Struthio camelus: one gene and its partner. The protein of the gene in region 2 interacts with the protein of the main gene of each other region in a pairwise test. Links are inferred from orthologs where the notes say so. Each region holds a gene or a part of one and is shown on either strand. Other genes may lie near its edges.

Region 1 (7,010 bases), on a different chromosome or scaffold from region 2:
TTGAATCCTACGGTATCTGACAAACTGAAAAAAAATTCAAAAATTTTGGGGAGCAAAGACAAACAGACTACCTCTGATACCATAAAGAACTCCCATGGAAACGCAGCTAAAAATAAAGTAACTAAGCAACTTCATTGCATCTTAGTAGTAGCAATGCTCTAAATTAAGTCCGAAAATAACAGAAAACTACCTCTGTTTCCTTCCTCTCTGTTGACGAGGCTGATCTTCTTGAGGATACCTGAAAATATCCTGAAAAATGGGCTCATACTTCTTAAAGATTACAGCAGAAACTGTAAAGTTTCTCTCCAGTCTCTCAGTTCGTTCTCTGAATTGGGAGGGTAGATTTGCCATGTCTTCCCATTTCTTCATCTTGTTAAAAAACTCAATCAAGCTGAAATATCGAACAGGTTGAAACTGAGAGTTAATTTCTGGAGAAAGATATTTTGATGTAAGTAAATAAAATTTAAAAGTACAATTTTAGGAAATAGTTTACTTCCTAAACTACTGATAAAATGGCAGCGTTGCAAACAAGCATGACAATAACTATAGTTCGACGTACTCAAAGCCAGTCCTTCATCCAAACAAGACCGTGCTCAGACAACTCGAAAAATATTTCGGTATCTGTTGATGATCGTGTTAACTATATGTATTTACAGTTCTTTATTGGTTTTTCCTCACACAAGTGCAATCAACTCCAGTATTCAGATTACTATAAAATCAAGTTTTTCTCATTTTTCTGAATAACTCATCTGCTTAAATAAAAACAAACTCCGATCTCTTCAACGCTAAGAATACCTCTAAAAGTATGAAAAAAAAAAGCGAGTAAAACATTTTTATATGTGTTTCAATAAATTTCATTTCATAAATTCAACTTTCATTAATTTTTGCACTGTTTTTTGTACACCTACTTTTTCAATGTTGTTAGTCTTTTACAGCCCATATTCAGCTCCCTGCATTTCTGATTTGAAAAAGCTTTTTTAAAGAAACTCCTTTGCTTTGTTTAAATATATCCAACAGAAAACGAGAATGGGAGAGAAAGTGCATAACTAATGCTCATTTATTTGCCAGTCCATGTAATTGTTATAAAACCACCATACTGCTGATACATAAAGTCAATTATTTCATGAAGTTTTTCTTCATGACTTTACAGAAATAAACATTTGATAAAAATGTGTTTATCAGATTCTGATATCACTTTCTCTTCGTAAAGTAAGAACGCATGAAAAGTGAAGTCTTCTTCCACAAAACCGAAAACGTGTGAATGTCTGCACAGTCAATTAAAAAATGCTTTCTGATGTTAGTGTATTAGACCTTGTTCTAAGCAGAACACGCATGCAGACGTTAGGCTTTTGAACAGGCAAGCTCACCTGCTGCACCTTCTTCAAAACCAGAAGTTGGTTTCTGCCTCCCTTTGAGAGTGGGAGGGCAATCTCTGAATTTGAAAAAATCAGTGTTTTTGCTAGGTACTAATGCCCAAACGAAGCTATCCCACATCTGTGGCAATGAGCTATAGCACAAACATTCTGATTGTATAAATTCTACATATAAAAGCAGGAAACAAGAATGATGTTCAGTCTTTCCTCTCAATTTCTAAATTTTTCAAGTCGATACACAGCGATTAAGATTTTAAAAATTCCAAAAACCAGCAAAAAAAAAAAGTTACCTTTGTTCTGAACAGCGCAAAATTCGGGTTAAGGACACATAATTCCCCTCAACTGTCCCTCTGCTCACAGTTGGAATTGCTTTTCTGCAAGCCACATACAAGGCACACGCTAGCCAATGCAGATCGTTTCCCTGTGAAATGAAACATCAGGCATCGAAAAGACTCGATCAAAACGAAAAACACACTCTTCAGCTATGCACCCAGCACGAAGAAAAAGAATAAAACTGATTACACTCTCCGCTAACAATGTTCAAGCAACAGCAGAGTGATGCATTACCTCAAAGCTCTATTTAACGGTACTGCTAGACAGGACCATCTAAGAAGCCGGAACGATAAGAAAAGCAGATGCTAACACTGAATTACGTCAAAACAGAAACGTATCAACTACAAGTTACGTTAATAAGTTTCACAGCGAGCCGAAGTTTAACAGCATGCTTTCTTTTCAGCACTGCTCGTCTCCTGCGCTGCCTCGGCGTTACAATCGCAGCAGTTGCTCACTATCAAAACCTTCTTCCCTGGACGCAACAGGGGAATAGGAAAAGACAGTTTCCGTTTTTCTGTTATGCGGCTTAATAACTACTCGATGCGATTCCTAAAGACGGAAATTAATTCCAACCGTAACTATGCCTCTTTGACTAAACTGCAACGTTTAAAGGGGAGGCGAACGACAGGAAGGGGGCAGAGAAGGCGGCGACGGCTGCGGTTTCCCGGGCCGCCTGCTACCGCGGGCACAAGCGTGCGCAGACCCCCCGAGAGGCCGCCCCTTCCGAGCTTCTCAGCAGCCGACGATCAAGAGCAGCGGGGCAGAGGTGCGCTGCGGCCGGGCCGCTTCCTCCCTGGGGCAGGTGCGCGCAGCGCCCGGCACCGCAGGGCAAACGGCCGCCAAGGCGAGCGAAACCTGCCCTGCCTCGGCCGCAGGACCCCCGCGCCCCGGGGCCCTTGGCGGTGCTGAGCAGCTCCGGGACTGCAGTTAGTACCAGCCGAGGTGCTAACGCTAACCCCTCCGCTTGCTCGCGCGAGAGTTACGTAACTCCAGCACGGCTCGCCATCAGCGTTTGCTTTTCCGTTAATAAAACAACCCCCCCTCCCCACACCGTGTCCCGGCGCGGCCCCGCGCCGGCTCCCAGCCGCTGTCCGGCGCTCGCGAGCCCCGGGTTCGTTTTCCAACGGCCGCGGGGGGAGGGGCGCCGCGAGGGCCGCCGCCCCCTCACCTCCAGCGTGTAGTTGCGCTTCATGCTCTGGTAGCTGAGCCAGGCCTCGGAGCGGGCGCGCTCGTCCATGTTGAGGCTGCTGCAGAGCTCCTCGTAGCGCTGCCGCGTGTCGCCCTCCTCGGCCGGCGGGGACGGGGCGGCGGCGGCGGCGGGGTGGGGGGGGCCGCCCCCGCCCGCCGCCTCGGCCTCGTCCTCCTCCTCGCCCGGCATCCCCCGCCCCGGCGCTAGGGGGCAGCGCCGCCCCGCCCCGCCGCGCCGCCCACTGCGCCTGCGCCGCCGCCCCGCCGGCTGGCGACGCGCGTTCGAATCCAAACGCCCCGGCGCTGGGCCCCGCTCCCGCCCTCCGCCGCGCCTCGCCCTCCCATTGGACGGCTTGCGGGCGCCCAACCTATCCGCGCTCCCGGTGCGCGCAGGCGCGCCCCGGCGACGCCACAGACTTCCCCTCCCGCAATGCCGCGCGGCAGCCCCCTCCCGCCCTCCTCCTCCTCCCGCTCCCAGCATGCAGCGGGGAAGCACCGTGCTCTTCGTGACGCCACCGCGTCGGAGCGCGCGAGGTCACTTCCGGCGGCGGCGGCGGCTGCGGAGGGACAAGGTTAGGCGGCGGCGGAAGAGGGCGGGGGAGGGAGCATGGCGGAGGCGCTCCGCTGCGGCCCCGGGCTCCGCACGACGGCTGCTTCACCGCCAACAGCAGCGGGAGCCTCGGGGGGAAACGGCCGCGGGATTGGCGTAACCCTGAAGCGTTCGCCCGGGCGGGGACGCACGGTTGCAGTCCGCTCTGAAAGCACCAGGTGGCGCCAGAAAACAGGGGCTAGGGCGAGGCCTGGAGGGGCAGCGCCGGCTGGTGGTCCGTTAGGGCCTATGCCAACCGCCATTTACACTGTTCTTCTAAAGAAGCAACTATAATTTGTCACAGTATTCTGCGTTCTATTGGGATACATACTAATCTACTCTTTCAAAATCACTTTTTTTCATCTAAATAATAAAATCCCAAAATATTAAAAGATAAGCAAAATCTAGGTTAGGGATAAGGTGACGATGCTGTGGTTATACTGGCATACCTCCTCCCGTTTTTAAGCAACCGCGTTTTGTAAGTGATGTAAGATTTCTAAATGAGACCATTCAAGTAAACTTTTAAAATAAGGCCACTTTTAATTTAATGGCCTATTGAAATTTTACATAAGAAACATTTTCAGATGTTTTAGAAAGGCACTGAAATCTTTTTTCATCCCACAGGACTTCTGTTTACTGGTTCCTCCAGTGAGAAACCGCAGTCTCCTTACAAAACACAAGCAATGAATGGGTAGCAAATCTTGAAGCCAAACAGCTGCAGAGCGGTGGCACAGGCCCTCACTGTAGTAACCCAAAATACTGAATATGTCCTCTGTGAAAGGAAATACTTGAAATTGTGGCTAATGTTGTCCACCTCCAGAGAATAAGGCAGACTCCCAGATTACATACCAGTCAAACTTTGCTGGTGCAGGATGACCAACTCTTGGAAAGATTTGTGTAGGGAGAAACAACATGCATCACGGAAACCTTTTTCCAGGATTCTTCCCAGGGTCTTTTCCCAGCCAGGCTTCTGCTACTTCTGATACTGTGTCACCAATTTGCAGAACTTCATCAGGAACCTTGCAAAGTTCAGTATTTTCCTTTAAGCCTCAGCTGATGGAGACCAATGATCACAGGAAGATTTCAGCTTCCATTTAAAAAGGAGCATGTTTCTTCCCCTCATGTCTCTGAGAAACATTCATTGCACTAAAAAGCAGAAAAGGAACAATCTGAGATACCAGAGGGAGCAGAATTGCTCCCCAAAACAACTTCATTTAGGACCAAAACTAGAAGCAGAGCTTTCCGAACACTGGCAAAAAACTTCTTTGGGTCTGACAGGCAGCCTTTACTGGACAGTCAGGACAGCACCCAGAATATGATGCCCATCATTATGAATAAACAGACACTTGGAGTTTGCATTTACCCAGCTTAAAATTGCTGCTGCATTACAAAAGAAAGCAGTGTATATTTATGTTTCCTAGGACTAGGAGTTAGAAACTCCCTTGCAGGAGCAAAGGGCTGAGCTCCAACCACCTGTTTTAGCTGAGAAGCACAACCGAGATCAAACACAGCATGACGTGGAGGAGCTGACGCAGCAGCAGCTACCAGATCAAAAGCTGTTCACTTCTCAGAACTGGAGACAGCTTGAGGACATACTGTCAGTTTTAGTGAGCTTTGGTGAAAAGAGATTCCAGTACTATGTCTGGCACTAGGATCCAAAGAATTACCCAAAGCAACCTCCCTTACATGCAGAAGTGACAGTAAAAGGGCGAGGCTCAGCATTAGCTCCCTAGAACACAAATGAGAATTTTGCACTCTTAGCTCTTGTTCAGGATTGAATGGGACAAAAGGTAAGAGAACAAACCCTCATTTTGCTGAAAGATCTTATGGCTTATGGTGGGATCTTCTGACTGGTACTTGTCTCACTTCTTGTGCGGTGATTTACTTGCTGTGGGAACTCAAAAGGGAGGCAGGGTCAAAAAAAAAAACAAAAACAAAACCAAAAACCCTCATAAGCTCCATCTGTCTTATTTTAAAACATCCCCAATTCTTTGTAGAGACATACTACAGGGATTAATTTTAAACAGGACATTTTTCAAAAAGAAATCTGAATGTTAGCTAACTTTTACTTTGCATTACAGTATACAACACTCTAAATTGAACCTAAAGTTGTGTAAGTCAAAGTATTTTGAGGACATAAAAATTCTGAATGGAGATACTCAACTTACACATACTTCTCAGTCTCAAGACTTCAGCCTACCTTATTTTGTGTAAATTTTTCTTAATCTTTATATTTCTTTCTCAGTGGGCATTCTTCCTAAAATACTGGGTCCAAAATTGAAATAAAACAAACAAAATATTGTTCATCATTTCAGGCGGGCTGGATCTTCAGCAATAGTAAATTATGTAATTTATTCGCTCCACTGGAGTTAAAATGCATTTCAGCACCCTTCCTCTGTGTATATTGTCAACATTTTCAAGGCTTTAGCATCACTACTAGAGGCTAAATAAGATTTTCTTCTTCTAAACAAAAAAAAAAAGTTTTCATTTACAATTCTCAGATATTACCTAATTAAACAATGAAGTTAATAGGCTAGATCATCTGTTCTGATCTCTTCCTTTTCAAATGTGTAAGCAGAAACATGTTACTTGTACCAGGATGGGTATCTCTGCAAGGACCTCCTCCCAAAAAGCCAAGAAGGCAACAAAGCTAACTTCTACTCGGCTGGGGGGGTGGGGGGGGAGGAGGGCGCTTTATTTTACAAAAACAGGGCAGGCAACCTGAAGTGTAATGTCCTCCAGCATTCTCACCCGGCCCCCTACAAAACCACCCCTTCAGTTGTTTCCTGCCTGACTTTTCTGACAGTGCAAGTAATCTGGCCAAAAGGGTTTGCCTTGTCCAAAGCATCCCCTTAAAAAAAAAAAAAAAAAAAAAAAACACCCAAACCACACAACACACTCCAACTTGCAAAATTTGTCCTCCCTCAAAATGTTTTTATCTTATTTATCGTTTGTCCTTGTCTTGCATAATCACAGAATATTTAAACTTCAGCAAGCCTTTCTACAGAGAGAAGTACATGAGCGTTTCTACTGTAAACAAATACAGTGGCAGACAGGTTACTGGTAGAAGGGCTTTTCATTGCTTCATAAAAGAAAAAATTGCCACCCTTAAACCAAGGCTTTGAAAATACCCAGCTGTGCGCCGCTCCCTTCTGCTAAAAGTTGCACACCTCCTAGCAATAGCAGCTAAAAAAAAAAAAAAACACACCCACAAAACCTGTTCATCTTCCAGTCACCTGAGATCACAGTCTGCTCAATTAGCACAAGCTGCTCGTTAAGTGGATTTTCACTAATACACCAGGAAGTGAACTGAAACAGCTGAGATAGTCTCATTTTTGCTGTTCTCAACAAGATGCTGCTGTAAGTAATAGCCTATGCTGACTAGTAGCAATCCTGCTCATACATGTTTGTGTTTAAAATATTGACAATGTGCAACTAAAACACATATTCTTCCTCAGGAAAATGTTAATTGAAACTTACCTTTAGAGAGGCTCATCCATCAGAAGTCCTTGTTGTATCTTTTAACA
Region 2 (8,058 bases):
TGTGGAAACGCAACTCCCACGTCATGCCTAGAAACAGAGTCCTCGGCAGCGGGGGCAAGGCAGAGGCGCTGGCCGGCAGCCCCAGCCCCCTGCCGCGTGCTCGGCCGGCTGTGCAGACAGGGGCCTTTGTTCTCCTGAGCTGTCACTCGAGAGCGAACCAGCGCATGGGAGCGAGCCCAGCGTGGCAGCTCCGTGCTGGGAACGGGCACTTAAAAGGCGCAGGGAACTCTCTCGCTAACTTGGAGGCGACGCTGCTGCTTCCCAGCCCAGGGAGCGAGGGCCTGCGCAGGATGAGGTGGTCTCCAATGACAGGCAGCAACATCCACCGGGAAGGAAGCAAGGTTGGTTGGGGAACATGGTGGAAGGCGTTTGGAGAAACAAGAGAAAGGAAACAGAGGAGATACAAACACAGGTACGTTGCCAAGTAGCAGCATGTAGAAGATAAGAGCTGGGGAGGGGACGGAGGGCTCTGAGACAGGGGTGGTTACCAGGAGCTGCTGAGGTGTGATGGAGTTGTCTGTGTAAATGCAGAGTTTCTCCACTGTCAGGGGCATGGTCTCACGCAGCTTGGAAGCCAGGAGCATGCAGACAGCTCCCAGAAGCTGCAAGTGACTTTTTCGCATGGGCACTGAAGACAGGTAGCGATCCACATAATTCATGGCCAAGGGGAAGACCTCTTCTTCGCACTTCTGCTCCTCACACACCTGACAAAATCCAATAACAAAAGAGGAAGTTTTAATCGGCGCCCCGGATCCTGCCTGCACCACAACTTCAAAGCTTCTGGTCATGATGGTGTTTCACACATTTCTGAAGGGCTTTGATGTATCACCTCCATGCTAAGGTGTAAACCAGCTGCAGGTGCAAATCTTAGACTTGAACAGAATTACACTAGAAGAAAATTTGACCAGTGTCTTAAGACTTTGTTTTCCTGTGGAAAGCTGCAAGAGTGGTATGCAGTTAGAACACACAGACAAGCTAAGACCAAAATTGCTTTTACTTGCCCCTGTTTTTATTTTCCCCTGTTGGGGATGTCTACAGGTAGACAACCAGCAAAGCTGTGCATTTTCTGCTCTGTGGGCACTCAGGACCTCTAAGGAAAATTATCATTTCCAGCATGTCTCCAGCTGGAGACCTAATCATGCAGGAGCCATAGTCACTTCTGACAATTCCACCTCAAGTGGCCCAGAGACACAAGAAGAATCAATGGCAGAGTCCGTGGCTGAGCCCAGAAGTCTTTCTTCCCCCTCCTCTTTCTCAACCACACCTGTACCACAGCCATAAACAGAATCCAGGAGTTCTCCATTTCAGTCCCCTGTTCTAATCTCTCAACCAGTATCAAAGCCCTGGTCATATTTACTTCCTTCTTTCAATGCAACCATAAAAATATTGGAGTTTCTCCTCATACAGCAGCAAACAGCACCATTCTCTTTCAAACAGTTACTCTGCCTTTCCCTTACACAGACTGCTGTAAACCCTAGGACAGAGACTTTTTCTAAAAAGAGAACAAACCCCTCAGGGCAAGGCAGTTGTTTTGTGCATTTTCCTTTCTTCCACAGTTTTTAAAGAGAAAGACAAGTCAATTTCAGGTGCAAGTTCTAGTGTCTTACAGTTCAAGGTGAATTTGGCCTGATTTTAACGGGTCAAACATACGGCCCCAGAGCTGCGACTAAATAGCACAAGCCTCCAATTTTGCTTTGTGCCCAATCATGACAACTGCTTAGTATCATTCACTTTTAGACTGCCTTTAGAGCTTCACAAGGAACAGGCTCTAAAGCAACACTTATCTAACTAACCTCCTCAGAAAGCGAACTGCAGAAAGAGACCAACGATAAGAGGGAAAAACCTTTAAAAAAAGCAAGTTGCTCTATTACTTCTTTTGACAGATCAGGCAGCTTGCGACAGCTGCTGGGGTGGAGAGCAGGAGCCAGGCTCAATTGGAACATCATTTGTCCTCTGCAGGATCTGTTATTTCTTTTTTCTATTGAGACCGCTCACCCTGACCGTTTCAGAAAGAGGCCCATGAGATTTCCCCCACTGGGCTGTTTCCCACAGAGAGCTGCATTCATTTTTAACTTAGGGAAGTAAATGGTAGCGATGTTATTTTCCCCCTTTAAGCAAGCGCTCCCAGCCCCATTCAGGAAACTCAAGTCTCTGGACTCTCTGGTGCACAGCAGAGCGCTCTAGCCAGAAATTTTGGAGAGCAGGGTGGGAACAGAGGAGCCAACAATGGTGTGGCAGCACATTGCTGGGGGGGGGAGGGGGGGTGAACACAGGCTGCTGGGCTAAAGGGGGGCTGCTCCTCCCACAGGGGGAATCACATCTTCTGGCCCAACCAACCCTCGCATCAGCAAGACCCCACTGCAGATTGCCTCCCCGCAGCCACCTCCAGGACCCCCCCCCCCCAAATCCCACAGCCCTGACCTCCGGCACACACGCATCCCAGAGGCTCTCCTGCCGCCAAGACCTCTTCCCTGGATTGTCCCTTGCCCCCTGTATGAAGTAACCCCACTGAAAGCTCCCTCCCCCCCAAGTGAACGTGGGACGGTCACCCCTCCCTTCCTTTACAGCACGCCGCCACCAGCTCTCTCCTGCCGGAGCAGCATAGCTCACACTAGCAGCAGGGACGAAAGGGCAAGAAAAAGAGCCGGTGGCCGGACACAGAGCTAGATTTTGAGGCGGGAGAGGAGAAAGAAGCCGGGACCCGGCTGGGGTGGGGGGGGAGGGTGCCGTACCTCGAGCATCCAAAAAGCCAGCATCTTCCGCATGTGGGGCTTGATCTCCTTCTGCACGCAGTGGAAGTAGGAAGCGTGGGGACTGTAACGCTCCTCCTGGCTCAGCAGGTTCTGCAGCACCCGCCGGTCCCCCAGGAGCTGCGGGTCCCGCTCGGCCCTGGGCACACGGGGGATCCCTTCCACGCAGAGCAGCTCCATGGGCCCGGAGCCCGCGGCGGGGGCGGGGGAGCGGGGCCGGAGGCGAGGCGGCGGGCAGCGCGGAGCCAGCCAGCCAGCCCGCCCGCCGGCTCGGCTGCGCGGCTGCGGGGCGCCGGGAAGTCGCCGCGCTCCGAAGGGGCGGGACCCGCCGCCCGCACTGCAGCGCCGCGCTCCGAGGGGGCGGGGCCCGCGCCGCCTCCCGCCAATCCGCGCGCCGCCCTGGAGCGCCCTTGCCGGACGCGGGCGGCCGCCCCGCCCCCGAGCCGGCGCGCCGGCGCGCCGCCAGCACGTGGGGGCGGCCGGGGGGGGGGGGCGCTGCCATGGTGGAGGAAGCGGCGCGGGGGGGCTGGCTCCGGCCGCCCCCCCCCGGTATCGCCCCGTCTCTCAGCAATCCCCCATCGACCCCTTCTTTCACCCCCTTTATTCTCAGGGCGCTCCCATGTGCCTAAGGCGGTGCCGAGCTGTCAGAAGAGCCAGCTGTGTGCCCAGGGCACGGCCACCCCGTCCGAACGGGACAGTCCTGGAACTGACTGGAAGGTTTCCATCTTCATCTACCTCTTCTTTACAACTTCATTATTTAGTTCTATAGTTTGTTTTGTTTTGTTTTATGTCCAGAATCCTTCAAGGCTATGAACATAATCTGCTGTGTGCATACCCCAAGCAGGTCCCTACTGAGCCTGCTTGCTTCCAGAAGTTACCCTCGTGCTGTCACTGGTGCGGCTCCACAGAAGATAGCAACCTCAGTGTCTGCAGAGATAAGGGTTGTCAGGCATTGCTGCTTTTTCAAATAATTAACAATAGTTTGGAAATACTAGCCTTTTCAAATTGTGTACTGAGCAGCTGTTTACGCTTCCTATTTTTCAGGGAAAACACAGACTTTCAAATAACTTTGTACTGTGACTTCCACAGCATAGTAGGCATCTCAAATGGGAACGCTAGGTACTGCTCTAATGGACACGATAACTAAGAATTGGCTCTGTGATGCCAGGTAAGGAGAGTGGTGCCAGTGGGACTGAGGTGGCTCCCTGCAGGTCCAGAAGTACATGCTTAGGATTTGCTCTGGACTGGTACCTGAGCCCACGTCTACTTGCTCTAATTGCTTTTGGGTATGGAGATTAGAGGCAACTGAATATAATTCCGGCCGCATGGCTCTCTCTTGTGTTACTGGCTACAGAAATTGGGATGTTCTGACTTTCCTAGGCAACTCAGTTCAGTCAGACTTGTCTCCTTTGAATATCCTTGAGGGTACTTCTTACATGCCCCCAAACTTCCTAATGTCTTCTTTTCAAAATATTTTATTTTCCAAGCAGAGCATGGAATCACTCCTACTTTCTGGATTGCTTGTGTGTCAGATGTGAAGACTTACAGTTGCTTTTTATCAGCAGAAGACCAGGAAGAGCCAGAAAACAGTCTATAAAATGTACAACAGATTCTATAATTGGAAGACCAGGATAATGGATCGCCTTCAAGTTTGCACATTTAAAAATTCCCCATTGAATTGAAAACATACTAGGAAACTTTAGCTCAGGAGGTCTGTTTTTACGAAAGTTCATACAGGTTGTGAAAAGGAATGTGTCTGAATGAGGTGACTGGCCCATATAACCCTCTGACCATCCGTCACTGGGATGGTGCTGTACTATGGCAATTGCAGCAGCAGTGGAAGCAAATGATTAATTACAATCATAAATGTTCAAGGTGAGAAATACCTTCTAGATTATCTACTTCTCTCACTCTGCTGCTTTCCATTATTCCCTGCAAGTTTTGACTGCCTTATCATCTGAAATGAAGCATCTCAGTAGTACATACACTCCTGTAACACTCCTTTGCTCAGGGCAGTATATTCCATTTAATAGTGCCGTGTTACTGGGCAAAGACCATTCTGGGTGTACTGCGGAATGATAAAGGGACTCAGACTGAGATAAGCCGAAATTCAACTCATAGCAGCAATCCCCGTCTGGAATCGTAGGGGAGAATATTCATGTTCAGAACGGAATGGAGAAATGGAATTTGTAAAAATTGAGGAATTTGTAGAAATTGAGGACTTTGGGGATGCAGTGTCATATAAAGGGGACGCAACTGGAACATCTCTGATGAGTTCTGCTGGAGTACTCCTCAGTATATACACGTATATCCATTTTGAGTTAAGGAACAAAGACCCAAAGGAGTTAGCGACTGAGTCATCTGCCATATAAGTTACTTCTGTGTATGCCATTTCGACACGTTTGGTACTTTTTAGTATTTTCAGTCATCTAAAAACACAGTCTTTTAATCAAGAACAAACATACATAGTTAATAATCAAGCAAAACAAGACTGAAGTCTTTGTTCTCTGTGTTCAGGTGGTGTTTTTTTGCAAACGAAAAAATCTTTTTGATCAGAGGTTTAGAAGTTCAAAATACTACTCATGGCAGTGGACGCAAAGGTCACATATATAACACACTCAGTAGATTTCACACACTAGAATCCTCTTTCTACGCTTGTACAGATGGCTTTCATTTTCTGCAAGGTATATAGTTCATTGCCCGTTAGATGTCTTTCCCTCTCCTGGTCTTTCTTTAATCAGCTAGAATATTGGCTGGGGAGACATGTTCTAGCTACGTATTCTTAATGATAGCATCATCATTGATTTGTTGTGGTGAATGCACTGGGAATACCAGACAGCATGGTGATAATGACCTATAGGAAAAGGAAGAGATCAATCCTGTCCCTGTCTTGAAAGAAAAAAATTGAAGAATCTATGGAAGAGATTTCTGTGGACCAGGCAGCTGGTTTTAATCTGGGATGACCTCTTGTGCTCCACTCCTTCACTCTTTCATTGTGAGCAGCATCCCCCCTTTTGTACAAGGAAAGCAAAGGACCTCATGTCCCACATTTATAGTAAAAATAGACAGCAGCTATTTTCTTTAATCAGGCAAAGGGAAACCACAGCGCTGGGTTCTTGATCCCTCTGTTTTCTGGGCTGTGCCTTTTGAAATTGAAAGTTTCAGGCCCTATTCCAGACTTCATGGTCTTTCTCCCATTTCCCAGTGTTGGCACGGTGGTTCGGCTGAAGCCGGCCTTGGTGGCAACCATGGGCCATAGGACACGGAGGGGGGAAGATGAAGCCTGTTGCATAAGAAAGTGTTCCTTCCAGATGATGACTTGGCAAAACTGGTGCTTCTGCAAGCCACATTATCAGGCTAGAAAGGCAAATTACAGACTGCAGGCATCCTGAAAAGCCTATTGTGTGGGTGTGCGGAGGGAAAAGAGAAAATTCCAGGAAAACCAAATTTTGGTCACTGTTGTCCATAGATAGTCAACTTCCTGGCTTTGGCAGTAGACAGCACAGCAATATTAAAAAAGGAAATTCCTTCAGAGTAAAAATAAAAAAAACTGATGGTTTCTAGGCTTCCAGGATCTCAGACCAGCAATGTTATTCTTTGCTGAATCATAAAGGGGCTCATTTTTTTGGTATGATGATAATGAATTAAAGAGAGTCACCAGCAGCTGGAGCTTTTAAAGGAGCACTGTAGATGCAGGTCTGATTCTCAGCTGATGGTCAGCTGGTATCACACTTAGGCTTGGATCAAGGTTAAAGCCATTTATCAGGCTGGTTATTCAACAGGGCCATTTCTGTAAGCTCTTCTCTGAAGAAGGGTTTCAGCTGGCAATGTCACTTTGCATCAGCAGTGGGCCTGGCCCTAGAGGATGTCAACAAAGGATCAGTATCTTCTCTACGCTGCTTTCTGATTTCATATATTTTATAGCTGTGTTTCATCCGATTTTGATCTACCATGAGCTAAGCCATCTTCTTCCTTGGTCATACTGCAACTACAGCATCATCAGTGACATCAAAATGAAACTGCTTAACATACATCAAGGACCTGAAAACCAAATCCAATGAGCAAATAACTACATAATTTGCTGCAGGAAATCCCCAAAATAAAATGAAAAACAGGTACCATTTTGTGCATGTGAGAGAAAGAGCGAAGGCAGTACTTCACCCTTGCTATTTTAGGATTTCAAAGTACTTCACAAATCTTAATCTGTTAGATTTCACATCCAGTTTCCCCTAAAGTGGAGGGATATTGCAACCATTCCCAGCAGGAAAGAATAAGGGCTCTGGCGTACAAGGGCAGCAAATCATGCGGTGGCAGTTTGGTGTCGCTGTCTGCGATTGCCAGAAGTCCTTGCCCCTTTAGAAGGAGGTGGCTCAGCTTACGGTCGGCCATACACACATAAACTGCTGATAAAGACAGGCTGGTATTAGCAGGTCAGGCTGTGGAGCATACACCCTCATCTGCTGCACTGCAGCAGCAGGGCAGATGGCTGCAGGGAGACAGCACGTCAGCCCGTCGCAGACATCTGCTTTAGTTGCCCATGAATCAGAGGCCACAGGCACAAGGAGTTAAGTCATCTTCCCAGACTCATTCAGTCATTCCCTGGTTCAGTGGACAGGGGAGTCCAGGATTTCCTGGTCCTGCTCCCATGTTTAAACACAAGACAACTGTCTCCCTCCATTGCTGGCTCGCTCTCCTTCTTCATATCTTATTCATTCTTTACTTAGAAAAGTACTTCCACTGACTTGAAGGGAAGTTTGGTTGACTGCAAGTTCAGCATTGGAGGATTTGACCCAGGGGATGTGTTTCCTAATAGCTTTCCTATTACTGGCAACCACAGCATTCCCTTTCCTCTGACTTGGGCAGACTTTTGAATACAATTAATTAGTTCAGAGTGATATCATCTGAACACTGGATCTCAGCAACGCTTAGATGTATCCAGTTATGATACATATGAGCCTTCTGAAGAAGAAAGCGTGCTGCTTCAAAGGTCAAAACACAGCTTTCCTATTAACGCAAAAATATGATTATTTAGAGGGACTCTTGGTACAGCTTGGACCAATTGTCTGTTTAAAGCAAAATAAAAGTGTGACTGTTGATACTGCTTGAGTTTATGCTGTATCCAGCCCTTTTATATCTGAGCATGCCTGCTCCTGGGATATATATCAGTTTAATAATACTAGCCTCATAACTAAGATTATTAAAGGAAAGCAATAGTTGGATGTAGAGGAGCTCTTCGCTTAAGTAGCTTGCAAAACAGAATGAAAAAGTGATTGGAAAAAGGTGTGAATGGAGGCAAGAGAAATATTTA

The links. The genes of interacting proteins can lie anywhere in the genome.
Region 1: the proteins of CCND3 (region 2) and RBL2 interact in a two-hybrid assay, tested with the Homo sapiens proteins (2 studies listed by BioGRID). The link is inferred for Struthio camelus from reciprocal best matches to the Homo sapiens genes CCND3 and RBL2.

Annotation. Positions count from the first base shown.
Region 1 is NC_090951.1:18,704,426-18,711,435, reverse strand, and holds the start of RBL2 (retinoblastoma-like protein 2), read right to left. Parts: upstream 3,085-7,010; coding exon 2,875-3,084; intron 1,795-2,874; coding exon 1,664-1,794; intron 392-1,663; coding exon 191-391; intron 1-190. UniProt on the Homo sapiens protein: Key regulator of entry into cell division. Directly involved in heterochromatin formation by maintaining overall chromatin structure and, in particular, that of constitutive heterochromatin by stabilizing histone methylation.
Region 2 is NC_090965.1:6,406,219-6,414,276, forward strand, and holds the start of CCND3 (G1/S-specific cyclin-D3), read right to left. Parts: upstream 3,050-8,058; 5' UTR 2,931-3,049; coding exon 2,733-2,930; intron 705-2,732; coding exon 489-704; intron 1-488. UniProt on the Homo sapiens protein: Regulatory component of the cyclin D3-CDK4 (DC) complex that phosphorylates and inhibits members of the retinoblastoma (RB) protein family including RB1 and regulates the cell-cycle during G(1)/S transition.